2 linked regions of the Drosophila melanogaster genome follow. The protein of the gene in region 1 interacts with the protein of each later gene in a pairwise test. Each region holds a gene or a part of one and is shown in the gene's direction. Other genes may lie near its edges.

Region 1 (7,207 bases):
TAATTTATATCACGATAAGATCACACGCTTGAAGCCGCCAAAGCCAATCACATTCCCATCTTGATCGAACCCTCGATCCCCCTCCCACCCGAAAACCCATCAAAATCAGCCACTTAGCCCATCTCGCAGGGAACACACACGTAGGCGCCTCCAGCAGCAGGTTCTTCAGTGTCCGTCAACGGAGCTCGGAATTCGCCGGACACGTTCGCGGACAAAGCTCGATGCTATGGGGCCCACTTAATACGTTTGATGGCAATAAGTTGACGCCAGCCGCCACAGTTGTACCGCTACATCACCGATAAGGCGGCGGACGGCTATTTGGAAAATCAAAAGATTCACAGCTCCTACAAACAGAGGGAAGTGTTAATGGATGTCACTTTAGTCGGACCCCCCCTCCACACTTTTTGGCTTGATCCACCTCTGGATGACATTAAGCTTCATCAGACATTCAACCCGATGCTGAATTAGCATACAAATTACACACGAGCACTAGCACTCAAAAATGCTTGAAGTTTGGGATTTTCGAATTTTCGGTTTTCTGACCACAACAAAAAGCCGACAAATTTCGCCCCAAACTCTTCCAAGTGGCAAACGGCTACCGATTTTATTATTGATAATGTTTTGATTTATCACAAAGATATACAAATTGCCACTGCCCCAAACTTCGGTTGAGGTCCATTCTCAACCGTGCCGCAGGGCGCGGCACTTTTGTGTGTATCTTGTGGATAAACGCTGGGGCATTTCATTCCAGGCCATAATTTTTATGCGGTAGCTCGAAAGTCGGTTGTTGGTGTCACTTCGTGCTAAGTTTCATCGTATCTGCACAGAGAGAAATTGTGTGATTTATATCTCTTTCTTTTATACATCGAAGATGAAATTGTAATTACAGATATGCTTCGTTTAACAGATACATATAACTGTTGTAGAATTATTTTAGATATCCAACCTGATCGATAAGGATTTAGATTCATTTAACAAAATCGGCTTGTAATATTTTCTCTCTGTGTGGTCTTGCGGCTTCGCCAAACTACTTAAGTTGAGGGATCTCCGGTGCTGGTCTTAATAGACAGACGGATCCGATCCGCATTGACAAATGTTGTTCGTCGCGTTCAGTAAATTGTTTTCGACATTTTCGTGTCGCATTTGTGGTCGAAATCTGCATAATGAGTTGGCAAAACGCTGACAGCTGTCCCAAGTGTCGAAGATTACTCGATGATAAGGCGAGGATCGCTTTGGCCATAAGCGCATTCGTCACAGATTCTCCTTCTTCTTTCGGGCGCAGCTGAAAGGTTGAGGTTGGCTTGAGGATAGCTGCGAACTGGCTATAATTGGCATGCAGTTTTGGGAGCGCTGAGCGCTGATTGTTGACAACTGGCTGGCACAACTTCATCATCGTCAGCCACGGGAAGCGAACTCGATCTCGAGCTCTGGTGAGGATCGGATCGGAGCGACTCGGCAAAACAAAGGGCGACATTAATGCACTGCCAGCAGCACTCTCGAAGTCGCCGAAGGGGCGTGACGAATTTGACACAACGGCAATGACTTTATTAACAACTGACTCCTGCTCCGACATCCCCGATCACCCTGGCAGAAGCCACGGCTCAAACCCCCGTCCATCCCCGCCCCGGGCAATATGACAATATGACAATGTACACAAATACACGAGGACCGTGGTGAAGAGAGCTCTCCGGGGATTTGGGCTTGCCAGATGCGACAATAAACACTTTTGCTATTTATGAGGTTTAAATGAACACGGGTCCGCCATCTTGGGTCGCCTAATGAAAGGATATAGAGCCGATACATTTGGCTTATGAATTTGCAGAATTAGAGGCGTGTCGGATCGGTTGAATGGGAATGGATTTGAGTGCCGGCTCGAGTGGTTCGCTTCCTAGGGGCGATGGCTAATTATGATTGACAGGGCGTGTCTCGTCTATTGAGGCGCCCAATTAAGAGTCGTTTTATAATTGATTTTGAATATGAAGGCAATAGCGATAGCGAATGTTCCCAAGCCCCGTCAATTTCTCACTTCCAAGGCAAGCGAAAGGAGAGAATGCCCTGGCTCGTCAACTTTAGTCAGTCAAGTGTAGGCATTAATCAAACATCGCGGCCATCTTGCCACCAAAATAGGGGGCAGTCGAAGGGATTGGAGAAGGGCCCTTATGCAAATTCAGCGTCATAAATTGCGATGTAGGGTTCGGGTAAAATACATCTAAACAACACCCTTTCAAGAGACTGAATAAACTGGATTTTATATTAACATACTGTGCTACTCATTTTGTCAGCTGGGTACCTGTGTACTTTTGCTGGATCAAGTTATTATTTTGTAATTTTATACGTTAAACATTAAAAGCTAATTTGCCCATACTATGTAGTGTAAAAGTCCAATTTGTTGTAAGCCCTTGATGAGCCCAATAATCATTGGTAATTGATGCTCCGCGCTTTAATAAACAGATACAAACACAAATTTGTTGAAATTGCCACTTCCCCTGATTTCTTTTCCCATCTCGAAATAATCAATTATACTCGTTTTCAAAGGGCAGTGTAGAACCCATTATCGATTACGGCTCGCCAGTTACATCATTTCACTTAGCCGACTCTTCAGTCACATTCCCACCGGCAAAGGGCGCAATGCAGTTAAATAGACATTTGCATGCAAAATTCAAGGAAAAGCGAGAAATAAAAAAGAAAACCAGGACAAACAGCGGAGCGAAATTGAATAAAAAACTGACACTGACAAACAAACGAAGCGAGGCGCATACAGGGCGCATACGTGATACAACGAGCGGACCAAAGTTGCAATCAATTTGGAAATGCATTGAGTTGAGCTGTGGAGTGGGAAGCGAGGGAAGTGGCAAGACAAACGAATGTGTGCCAGCAAAATGCACTTAAACAAATGGAAATATAAATGGGAAAATATAAAATAATATAATCATAAATTGTGTGTAGAGAAACTAACTAACTAACAAGATGCAGCTAGTTATTAGATCTAACAACGATCTCAAGTTAACAAGTAATAAATGTGAAGAGCAAAGTAACTGTCATGTTGTGCCATTTATAGGTTATTACTTTTGAGGTGCAGAATTCGTTCGCTTTTTAATTTATGTTGAGGAAGTTTGAGGGAGAAAGACATTTTTACATTACTATAATATTTTTCATAGGCACATCTATTTATGACAAATAAACCTCTTTCAAAAAGACGTTCTTGAACGAAGGATTGTCAGTTCGGGGAACTGTTTTTCCCAGTGCATCAGAGGTCTCGAAACACGGATTCGAAGAGGCTTGTTTTTCCAGTGGAAAATAGATGAGGAGTCGAAGCCAACGGTACAACGAGACATCATTATTGATGACAATTGAGTGGGCCAAAAGAGAGCTGCGAAAAAGCGGGTGAGCCAACAATTACGATAATTAACGCAGTCAGTCGCCTGGAAAGCGACGGGAAAGAGAGGGAAATAGTGCCGCCCCAGAGAGAGAGCGAGAATGAGAGAGAGAGAGAGAGGGAGGAAAGAGAGCGCATGTCAAATTGTACAAATTAATGACGTTCGCACGTTGACAGCGACTTTTGGTCGGGTGAGGGGGTCTGTATGGCCCTCGACCAACTGCTATTGGTCCTCTGGTTAGCTCTCCCTCTCTCCATCTCTCTCTTTTCTGCTGGCACGCCCCCTTGGCGAGAGCGAGGCGGCGTTTCCAATTAGACAAGCTGCGCAGCTGCGCGAGTCCGTGACGTCATGGGTGCCAACCAGTTTGGAGGCCCCAAAAAGCAGTTGAGAGAGCTTGGCCAAGAAAGAGAGACAGAGAGCCGAGCAGCATTAGCATCGCATTCTGGCCACGAGCCATTTTCGTTGTTGGTGTTTGTGTTGCACGTTGTGCCGACGTTTTTCGTGTGACAGCCGCGCGTTTTGCCGACGCGTTTTTAATCGCCCGTAGAAAAGAGTTTGGAGCTAAGCCGTAAGGATACAGCCAGGATGTGCTGAGTGGCCAAAGGAAAATACACCTAGAGATGCCGCAAAGAACTCCCAGTCCCGCTAACTCTGATGTTTCGGTGGGTTCGCCCAGTCCACCGCCTCTGAGATCGTTGAATATGAAACGATTGCGGCTTTTGAGGAGTCCTATTAGCCTGGAACATGACCGCCAAAAGTCATCACCCGTCAGGGTCAAGAGCTTTTCCATTGCCGATATCCTGGGGCGAGGGCATGAAGAGGATCGTGTGGAGAAGAAGCCGGAGAGAATTGCCATTCCCAATGCTTTACCAGGAGTACCTGCTCCATTGGCTCTGATCAACGAAAGATTGCAAATACCCTTGGTGCCGAATTGCCCTCCGCCGGCTGCACTACATACATTTTTATCGCCCGCTTTGCTCCACAGCTATGAGCAGCGACTGGCCTGGGACTACCAGCGCCAGCTCCAGGAGCACTTCCAGGCACAGGCGCAACTCCTCCGGCAGATGACCCTGAATCCCGCGATCATTGCCTCCGAGGACGGCAGTTCAGAGCGTTCCCAGCGATCAAGCAGCAGCAATGGCAGCACCGAATGCTGCAGTCCCACCCAGGCGGAAAAAGTGGAAAAACGTTCCCAAGAGGACAGAATGGAGGTTCCTAAGAAGTCGCCCGAGGAACAACCAAAGGGGGCCAGCAAATCAAGTGGAGACACTCCCTTGGATGCCCTCTTCCAGCTGTCCACCAAAAACTTTGACGAAGAGCAGGGTGAGTAGTTTTCAAGAGAAAATATATTCCTCTAAATCCAAACAGAAGAAGACTTTGCTTTTAAACTGCGGAACCCAGTGGACAACCAAAAATCATATTCTTCATATTTACTATATGTAAAAAAGTACAAACAAAATTATAGTGCAGAGATAATAGATATTTCATCAGCTTTTTCTCAAGTTTTATCAACACCCCTGAGTATATGAGCTTTTTGTTATATATGATTGGAATATCTTCAACATAAAAATATCCACAAACTGTAGAATTACTTACTCCGCGTTCACCTCTGTGTGCACAACCGCAATCAAATTACATTTTAATATAAACTGATTTCCCAACGAGACCCATCATAACCATTAGCCTGGCCAGCGATTGATCAATTGTTGTCATTACGTCTTGATGAGATTCTGCTTAAGGCGTAAAAACAGTAGTGAGGTCAGCCTGCTCGTCCGAGGTGGCTAAATCAATTTCAGGCCAGCCGGCTGGCAGCTCGCTCGGCATCGCCTTTGATGGCAATTGCCTTTCCCAGACCCAGACCCAGTCCCAGTCCCATACCCATACCCAGATCCACTCGAAGGCCCCAGCCCGGTCATATGATGATGCTCTAGCTGCGGCGAGCTGCTGCTCCAACTCGAACTCAGACTCCAGCTGATGGCTGATGTCTGATGGCTTTGGCGCATGCGTATCGTTCGGCATAATTTGCTTAGCGGCGTTGATTTCTCGTTAAGTCGCAGACGCAAACCGATTTATCCCACACTCGGAATAAAAACAGAAACTGCCGGGAGTCACTGGGAAAACTATTCCTCATAATATCTTCGTTTGGAAAACACATCACCTTGATACAAATTATTGTACAAACAACTAACTAAGAGTATTTAAAAATATCCTGAACGGAACATTTCTTTATTTATTATATCTGCAAATCAATTTCCATCATTTTTCGGTGTAAAACAATATTGGCCATGAATGTCTATTAAAATATCTTCCCACAGCGGCTGTCATATTTTTTCCGAGTGCACTGACCAGCAATCCATCAGCGAACCCATGGTCTGCGCTTTTGTTCATCAGCTACTGAAATTGAATTTACGCGCCGCACGTACATCAGCCAATTGGTTCGTGCTCCACTCTAGATTGCCGCATTGCCGGATTGCTGAGCTGTTGGGTTGTTCGGTTGCCACAGAGCCATCTAATCAGCACCAGCTGATTTGATCGGTTGATCAACTGCTACTGGCATTGAGTGCCGCCCGGGATGATTATGATTATCGCCGAGCTGCACTTAAGCGCCGCAGTTTGCGAAAATTGTATTGCTTTTTCCCAAGACAGCATCCGGTGTGGAAGTGGAAGAGAAGACGCGAGGTTGGCCATGGACTGAACCCTTTCTACGGCTGCCTCCTGCAATTTGCCCGGCTGATCAAAAGCCGTAACCGGCCAGTTGAGGGAAAGATCTGAGACACTTCCGCCTGGTAATTAGGAGCAGCGACAACTCCCATTGCAACGCCATCGTAGCCCCACTTGGGGCTTGGGCCTGCTCACCGCTCATGACGATTGCCGGCAGATAAGCCATAAAGAGGCCCAGGCAGCACATACAAAATAATTACAATGAAAATGGCTGAAAAGTTGCAGCTATTTGAACAATGGACCTGTCGTTAGGTCTTGTCAATTACGCGTAGATACCTGCCACATTACGTCACCGAAGAATGGGTACCCTTTAACACGTTTCAGCAGAGTCGAATGTTGCCAGAAGGGTTTCTTTCTTTTAGATCGTAGAACGGTTTCCTTACATTTTCTCAGTTAGTATGTAGAATTTCTATGGTTCCGCCAATTGAAAATGGAAAGTGGATAATTACTGGGGGAACTACCCTCTTACAGGGTATACCGGCAAACGGATGGCGACTTGGGCACAAAGAAAGCCCGGTCGTGGGGCGATCAGCACGGTCGGTGGCTGCCGCTGAAATGTGGGCTTGATGAAACGCCAAGACAATTGGCACAGACAGCCGCGTTATTGAACGCACAAACGGCACAGAGCGGCGGATGCATCCCTAATTACAATTTAATTACTAAAACTTTTCCCACTTGACAAAAAGGCGGCGGCCATGGCAGTTGAGGACCAGAACACCAGAAGACCCAAAGACTGCGACGCAGCCGAGCATGAACCACAAACGCACCGCAACCAGATACATTGACAGGCCCTAGACACACACACACACACTTCGGCCACAATGATGATGGCTCTTCGGGTTGACAGTTGATTTGACAGATAGCAGTGTAAACATTTTACAAAATGCGGGCTGAGGTCGCGGGGCGGGGCGGATCCAAATAACAATAGTAAAACGCTGGCCGGGTGTTAGTTGTTAGGCTGCCCAAAGAGTCGGAGCTAATTAGTTCAACTAGACGTATACTTAATTTCGAATGGGAGCAAAGTCGAAAATGTAAATAAGTGGCGGATTGAGCATAAATTATAGTTATAATTGGAAATTCGCACGGAGAGTGGGCCGGCCTGTGTGCTA
Region 2 (7,207 bases), on another chromosome or scaffold:
CATTTTAATAAATATCAAAAGAATCTGATACTAGCTAAGCCAATCTAATTTGCAGTAATGAGATAGGAGATCATACGTTCTAAAACTGTCATTAAAGTTAGATCAAACTAGAGAAAAGGTTACGCCTATCAGATATCCATTGATTCGTGAATATGTTACTCTACATTATGTTCGCCGTGTGAATTGCACTTGCAAATCAAGCGCAAGTTTTGTGGTGCAAGGCACACGGCGTTCTTCGAAGGCAAACTTCGCCCCCACCACTTCAGCGGCATCAGGAGTCAGGTTCGTGAGTGGGCCACCACGGCGGATACGTGATGTGCCTGTGCAACAAACAGGAACTATGTATAATAATTGTGAGCGAAGGACACACGGAGTTTAGCAAGAAGTGCTCGCTTTTATTTGTTGAGTGCCTTTCAAGGTTGTCGTCTCGCTTAGAGATCCCAGACAGCGCTTTCCACTTATAAAGGTACTTCCCCCCTCCCCAAAAAAAAAAAAGCAAAAAAAAAGGTCGAAAAGAGTTGCATGCAATCACCAGTTGCAAGATGAGAAACATTAAACGGAAAATACGTTGTGATGGGACCTCAGTGCACTGAAGCGGGGTTACGCATGCGTAACACAACAGCCACGCCCACCGCCCAGCATTTTGTGGCAGAAACACTCCAACTCCAACTCCAACATTGAATTATGAAATGTGAAAACTGTGTTAAATAAGTAAACAGGGGATGCGTTTGTGCAGCACAAGTCCTGCTGAAAAATAGACACTGCCAAGTCACGTAGCCACGAACTGAATTTCATATTTCATGGGGCAGCCCAGCCGCCCAACCGAGTGGAAAAAAAAACAACGACCATTTAGGCAACCATCCACACCCACATACCAGCTCCACTTTTCGATGCTCATACCCAAAAGGACGCCCCATTCCAGCAGGACTTCGTGCAGCAGTTGCAATATTTGATCTAAAATATGTATGCTCGGGCGGAAATTGTTTTTGTGTTAAATGGCGGAAGCGACGGGGCATTGTAATTAAAATTTGCTTAAAACTTAATGGCAAGTATTTAATATACAATTGGAATTTACCAAAACGAATAGCATGTGGAACTGCTCGAGAATCGCTTTCGTAATTAAAGTTGAGGTGGAATAGCTGCGATTGTGGATAATTATATATGCAGTTTTTTACCTTTGATCTGTGGCGCGGTGGAAAAAAACAAAAAGACCATCAGCTACCGTACGCATTCAACGTATGCATTGCATTTTCCGAACAACTTTTCACTTTTTTCCTATTGCAAGCTGAAAATATAACACCACCCCTTCCCCCCCCCCCATCCTTTTGGCCAGAAGCAATCCCCACCATTGGCAACCCGGATTTTCCGCCCCTGCAGCTGCTGCCCTTTGACCCTCAACACTCGCACCGTTTTGCGTATGTGCATGCCTCAAATAGTTGCACCACACATTAAATTTCCGGTCGGGCGTCCGTTCCTTAAATGCAGAAGGAAATGCAATAAACGCCAAACTAAAAGCCACGCCAAAAATGTACAAAAATTACGGCTGGCGAAGCCAAAGCAAAAGGGGCATAATGGGTGGGTCCATGCCAGGGGATGGGGTCATGGAAAATGCCATCATGGCCAAAGAAAAATGCCGAAAATGAAATGACGCTAAAAGTATCGCAATAAAAACGCATTAAAATGCCTCACCAGGGAGTAAATAATTTCTGTTGCTCCAATCGCAGACATCGATTTGACTTTGTCGTCATGTACAGGGTAAGAAACGCTTTCCAAGATCAAGGACGAAATGTGATTATAAACCCAGAGGTATAATTAAAAAGTTTTTTATCTCAGAAATGTCAAAAAATTGTATATGCGAGGTTAAAGGTATCTTAAAATATGCTACGAGTATAGCACTATTTGAAACATCTTTTCAAGTGCTTTCAACATAAAGATGCAATAGTTTTGCAATGCATCAGTTATTGAAATGCAATAAGTTCGTATTTTTTTTTAAGTGTCCCTCGTAGTCGAATGTATTGAAATACAATCGATGCTGAACAATTAGGCGCCGATTCGGAGGGACTATAGTCTGTAGTCTGGGAATAATATTTTTATGGCCAGTGGCGCGCATAAATCCCGTCCAGCCGGCGTGTAATTCAAAATGGACAGAGGAACGTGCGACGGGAACTTGGTAATTCCCGGCAGGATATCGACTGGTTGCATAATTTATCGTCCTGCTTGATTTGAGTGCATAAAGTCGCTGCCCAACGCCTTGGCCTCAAACTCTCAAGTTTGCTCCTCAAAATCTGCTCAATGAGCCGAAGATGCAGAGCATTTTGTAAGGCGATGCGCTTTTAATGTGTTTATTGACTTGGCTTGGCCAACGGGTTGGCTCGATGATGGGCGGGAGATTAGGCCAATCCATCAAATGCTATAAAGTTAATTAAACAAGATGCTGCCGAAGGAGTCGAGAAATTGGGTCAAGCTGCATGCACCTTGCGCTTGCTAAATGCATTTTGCATATTTATTGCAGTAAAAATTGAAATAAATTCCAACTACGATTGAATGGCATAGTGAAGTGTGCTTGTCAATTATAAGTGTTAATACATATATTTGTAGATATGTTTGTGTGTGTGTGCTGTAATCCTTTTCCCCGAGCAGTAATTGCATATGAAACATGCATTTTCACTTAAAATGGCATGAAACTAATCTCCTTTTGCAGGAAGTGGGCGGGTATGCATACTATATTAAATAGTATTTTGCGAACTGTTGTTCTCGAAGGACGCTGTCTGGCTTTCAGCAAAATCTACTTTATTCGAACAACAGTGCAAAAAACTCAATAATACTCCATTGAATGCGTATATTAAAAATGCAGCAGAAACTTAATTAAATTTCCCAACTGAGTGAGTGGCTAGAAACACGTACAATCAGAGCCATTCGGCCACACAAACTTCAATTGCAAATTACAGAAGCCGCAAACAAAGACAATAGAAATTTTAATAATTCCAGAACATACAGCTTGAATGAAATTAATTAAGAATATAGTCGATTGTGAGTTCTGAAAGAATCAATCGGATTTAATGATTTAATAACAAGTTACTTTAAAGGCCGAAAAACTGCTGGTGCAAATGTATCAATTTTTTTAGCCTTTTAGCAGTTTTTTCGTCATTTTACCATCAATACTCACATAAAAAACCTAATTTTCGAAACATAAGCTCGAAATAGAGTTGACAAATATGTCTAAATATTTTAAGTACCCGTTAACAACGAACATATAGACTATATATTTAGGAATGTGTGATAAAACTAAAAGTTAAGAAAACATATTTGACGAAAATTGCCGGAATCTATGTGCCATTTCGTTGCTTGTTAAGTAAGTCGACCTGATTGGCCGTCTAAAAATCAAAATAGCTGGCTTTTGATGTTTCGCTTCTACAAGTTGTACTCGTTGTACATGAACAACATGACCAGTAGTGGAGTTGCATGGCCGCGGGAGTGGTGCCTGTGCGGAAAACTGCCGCGGGCGGTGCTCCACATCCCGGTGAACCATCGTCTGATCTGCCAGGTGTGCGGATTGGCCAGGCGCCCCCAGGCTGGACTCGATTCCTCCAGCGATAAGGATGCAGATCAGAGCACCGAGGAGCAGAAGACGATTATACCAGAGCCCAGCCACGTGGAGGAGCCCAAAAAAAGCCAAAAGACTCGGGTAAAGGTAACCATTAGGGGCAAGAAGCCGAAAGCCAAGAATTGTTGCCGGACAAATTGCCACAAGTGTGGTGGCTTGGCCAAAGCTGAAGTTGGCCAGGAAAGTACTGAAGCACCCAAAGAGATGAAGTGCAAACGGTACCCGGGGCGTCATGGCTTGCACTCGAAACCGAAGGGAATGATGAGTCGTCGACAGCTGGCGCCCAAAGCACCGCCACCTTCGACGCCGTCGTCATCTCCAACGCTATCGCCATTGCCTTCATCACCGCCATCGCCCACAGCACCACCACCACCACCACCACCTCCGCGTCAAGAATTGGAATCACCACGTTCGGAGATGCCAAGCCTGGTGGCCATGGCCCATAACGTTTTTAATCCAAAAAACAGCCCGCTACAGAACTACAACAATCTATTTGTCAGTAACTTTATACCCTTACAAAGTCCCATTACGGATACCTTCGGGGGAGCTATATCCAAGAGGAGCAGGAACAGCATTCGTCCACCACGCAGCCACAGGAGTCGCCCGCTGCCACCACTTTCCAAAGTCTTAACCAACATCTTGAGCAGCCAGAACTCGACGGATGACAGAGAGATGGGTGGTGGATTGAGTAGCTCCAATTGTAAGGACTCGCAATCGACCGATTCCGAGCTGGCTAGCCAGTTTTGTCCATTTGATCACTATGAAGGTCCATCCGAAGATGCTCTTGTCGTGAATAACGCTCGTTATATGCTTCATCGACCGAAATCACTGCACATCGAACCACGACAGGATTTGCGCAACAATCGCATTGAATCGTTGAACTTTCAGTTGAGCTCTACTAAGGACACAAAGAGTCCAATCGCTGACAATCTATCAGGCATCCTATTCATGGCGGATTCAGTTCGTAAAAATCTTAAGAAAACCATTGATAACATTGGAAACGAATGCCATATTTCAGGTAAAACCAGCCCAGCCAAGAACTTGGCCTCCAAACCGGCAGTTACTCAGCAGAACAATCGGGAAAATAAACCGGAAGCGTTGGAAGACTTCGAAAGATCTTCCATTTTAACCTCAATCATGGACAAAGTTTTCAGCTCACAGGAATCGAAAAGCTCAAATGGAAACTGCGATGATGACAAGATACCAGAATTGGAGGATATTAATAAGCCGATCAACGACATGTTCGTCGAGGACCCTGAATCGGTTTCTTTGAAAAGTAATGTATCAAATGAGCACAGTGTATTTTCTTCAAATAAAACAAACAACTATAATGATTATTCCAAGCCCGTTTCAAAAACACTAAGCATAAGCAATTCCATTTGGGAACGATTTTGTGATAACAAACCCAAATCGACATTATATAAGTGTGCTCGCTGCGGACAACAAAAGCATCGTGAAGATATAGTTGCTAAAATTAAAATAAAAGATAGTAGAATTCCAAAAAAATCCGATGCGAATCAAATATGGCTAAATAAAAAAATAGGATGCGCCATAAAGCAAAAGCTCAATAGCTTAAGATCCTTTTCTGGAGCACAGGAATGTAAAAAACACGAACACGAAGGGCAGAAATCCCTAAAACTAGCAGATCAAGGAGTAATTCCCGAGATTTTTAGAGAAACCCTACGTATGCAAAAACAAAAAGCTACGAATGACAAACCAAAAGAGGAAAATTTAAGACTGCAATCCATAAATACAAACATTCAAAGGAAAGCACAACGAATTTATCAGGATGATTCTTCGGAATCACAGACTCCAATAAAAGATCATAGCACTTCAAAATGTTTAAATCTACAAGAAAAAATAGATCATATCCCACCGAGGGATAACAATCCAGCCAAAGTAAATGATCAATCAAAGATCACTCCTTCCAAGATACACCACGAATGTCTTCAAAAACGACCCAGAATCGCACTTAAAGTTGTGAATTTAAACCAATCTCAAATATCGGATAATAACTTTCAATTACGTAGACATAAGGAGCCATCGTTCAACTGGGGAGTGATACAATTCTGCGAGACTGTATCTCATAGGAGTCTAGTTATCCCCAAAATACTGGTTCCTACTTATGTTGGTGAGTTGGTGAATATCGGTCAAGCCACGAAATGCTATATCAAGGAGAATATTCTTCCGGATGATCCGCCTTCGTCTCTCTTTGAGTTTCGCATCCCTGACATTAGTCCCAACGAGCTGCTATCCTATCGAAGTTCGGATAACATTAGCGGAAGCTGTACTCCAATACCTCATATAGCGAGTCCAAAGGAGCAACCTATAAACCACAAAGACCCGTGTCATTCTGTTGATCCATCTCCGCCAGAAAAATTCGAAAGTCGTAGCACTCTATACGAAAATCTTGAATTGTCGTTCACCACACGAAAAGCAGATAGTTTTAACCATCCCAATGACAAATTACCTGATTATGAAAATCAAAAGAGTAACAAATGCATGAAGGCAAACGAGAACAGAAAGTCCAAGTCCACAGAATTAACAGATGCTAATTTTAGCTCCTTAAGTGACAACAATATGAGCTATAAGATAGAATTAGATGGTTTAAGAAAAGAAGAGAACCCAATAAAAGAATTCAGTTTAAAGACTGACATTACGGCAGTTAGTAATACATTTACGAGATCTAAAGAAAATACAGAAAATTCAAATGATACATTTTTCCAGGAGAGCCGCATTACGTTACAAAAGTACAATCACTCAAAATTGAGCAATGCGATTAAAAAACAAATAGACAAATCCTTGCAACAGAAGATTAAAAAAATTATGACTAAACCGATAAAGTTGCTAAAATCGACTGATTCAGATTCAGTTGAAAAATTTGTGGAGCCATTTACAAACAAATTGAGCGCCTTCGATGAATATAATGCAAACTCTACACAAGAAAACTTAGAACTTGAACCAAATGTCATTTTGAATGAAGAAGAGGATATATCTCTTTCAAATTCCTTCACGGAATTAAGTTCAAGTCAAAAGCCATTACGTCTTATAGCCAACCTGCACTCCTCAAGTGACTCCGAACCAAAGTGTCTAATTGAAGAATCTAAGGTAGAAACTGATTCTGATGGAGCATCGGAACCGATGCTGACCTGTCGAACCACCGAGTATGCAGGATTGCCTCCTCTGAACTGGCAAGTAATCACAATGGGCTCAGCTCATCCAAAAAATATTATGCAGGATGATTTGGAGTCATCTCTGGTAGAAGAGTATTACTGTCCCATTCACATGTGCGGAAGCCTTATAAAGTCGAACACATTTTCTTCGCATATCCTGCAAGATCATCGAGTTTGGAAAACCAAAGATGCTCCACCGCAGGAAGATTACCATCAAGTAGTGGAAGGTTTACCAAAGCAGTTCTGCTTCGATGGCGATCTCCTCACGAAAGGAAACACTTTTGTGGCCCTTCTCTTGTACACCAGCTTAGCGAAGGAAAGGTTAGCTACTGAAAACAAAAATGATATATCTATTTACTAATTCTAACCCTTAGATCACATCCAATGCGGAATCATCCGCTGACCTTGCTAGCTGCTCCAAAAATGGCAA

The links. Proteins that work in one complex are often made in the same cells at the same time.
Region 2: the proteins of lbl (region 1) and CG13131 interact in a two-hybrid assay, tested with the Drosophila melanogaster proteins (one large-scale study listed by BioGRID).

Annotation. Positions count from the first base shown.
Region 1 is NT_033777.3:21,430,758-21,437,964, reverse strand, and holds the start of lbl (ladybird late), read left to right. Parts: upstream 1-3,831; 5' UTR 3,832-3,997; coding exon 3,998-4,700; intron 4,701-7,207.
Region 2 is NT_033779.5:10,013,525-10,020,731, reverse strand, and holds the start of CG13131 (uncharacterized protein), read left to right. Parts: upstream 1-3,268; 5' UTR 3,269-3,400; coding exon 3,401-4,568; intron 4,569-4,622; coding exon 4,623-7,098; intron 7,099-7,151; coding exon 7,152-7,207.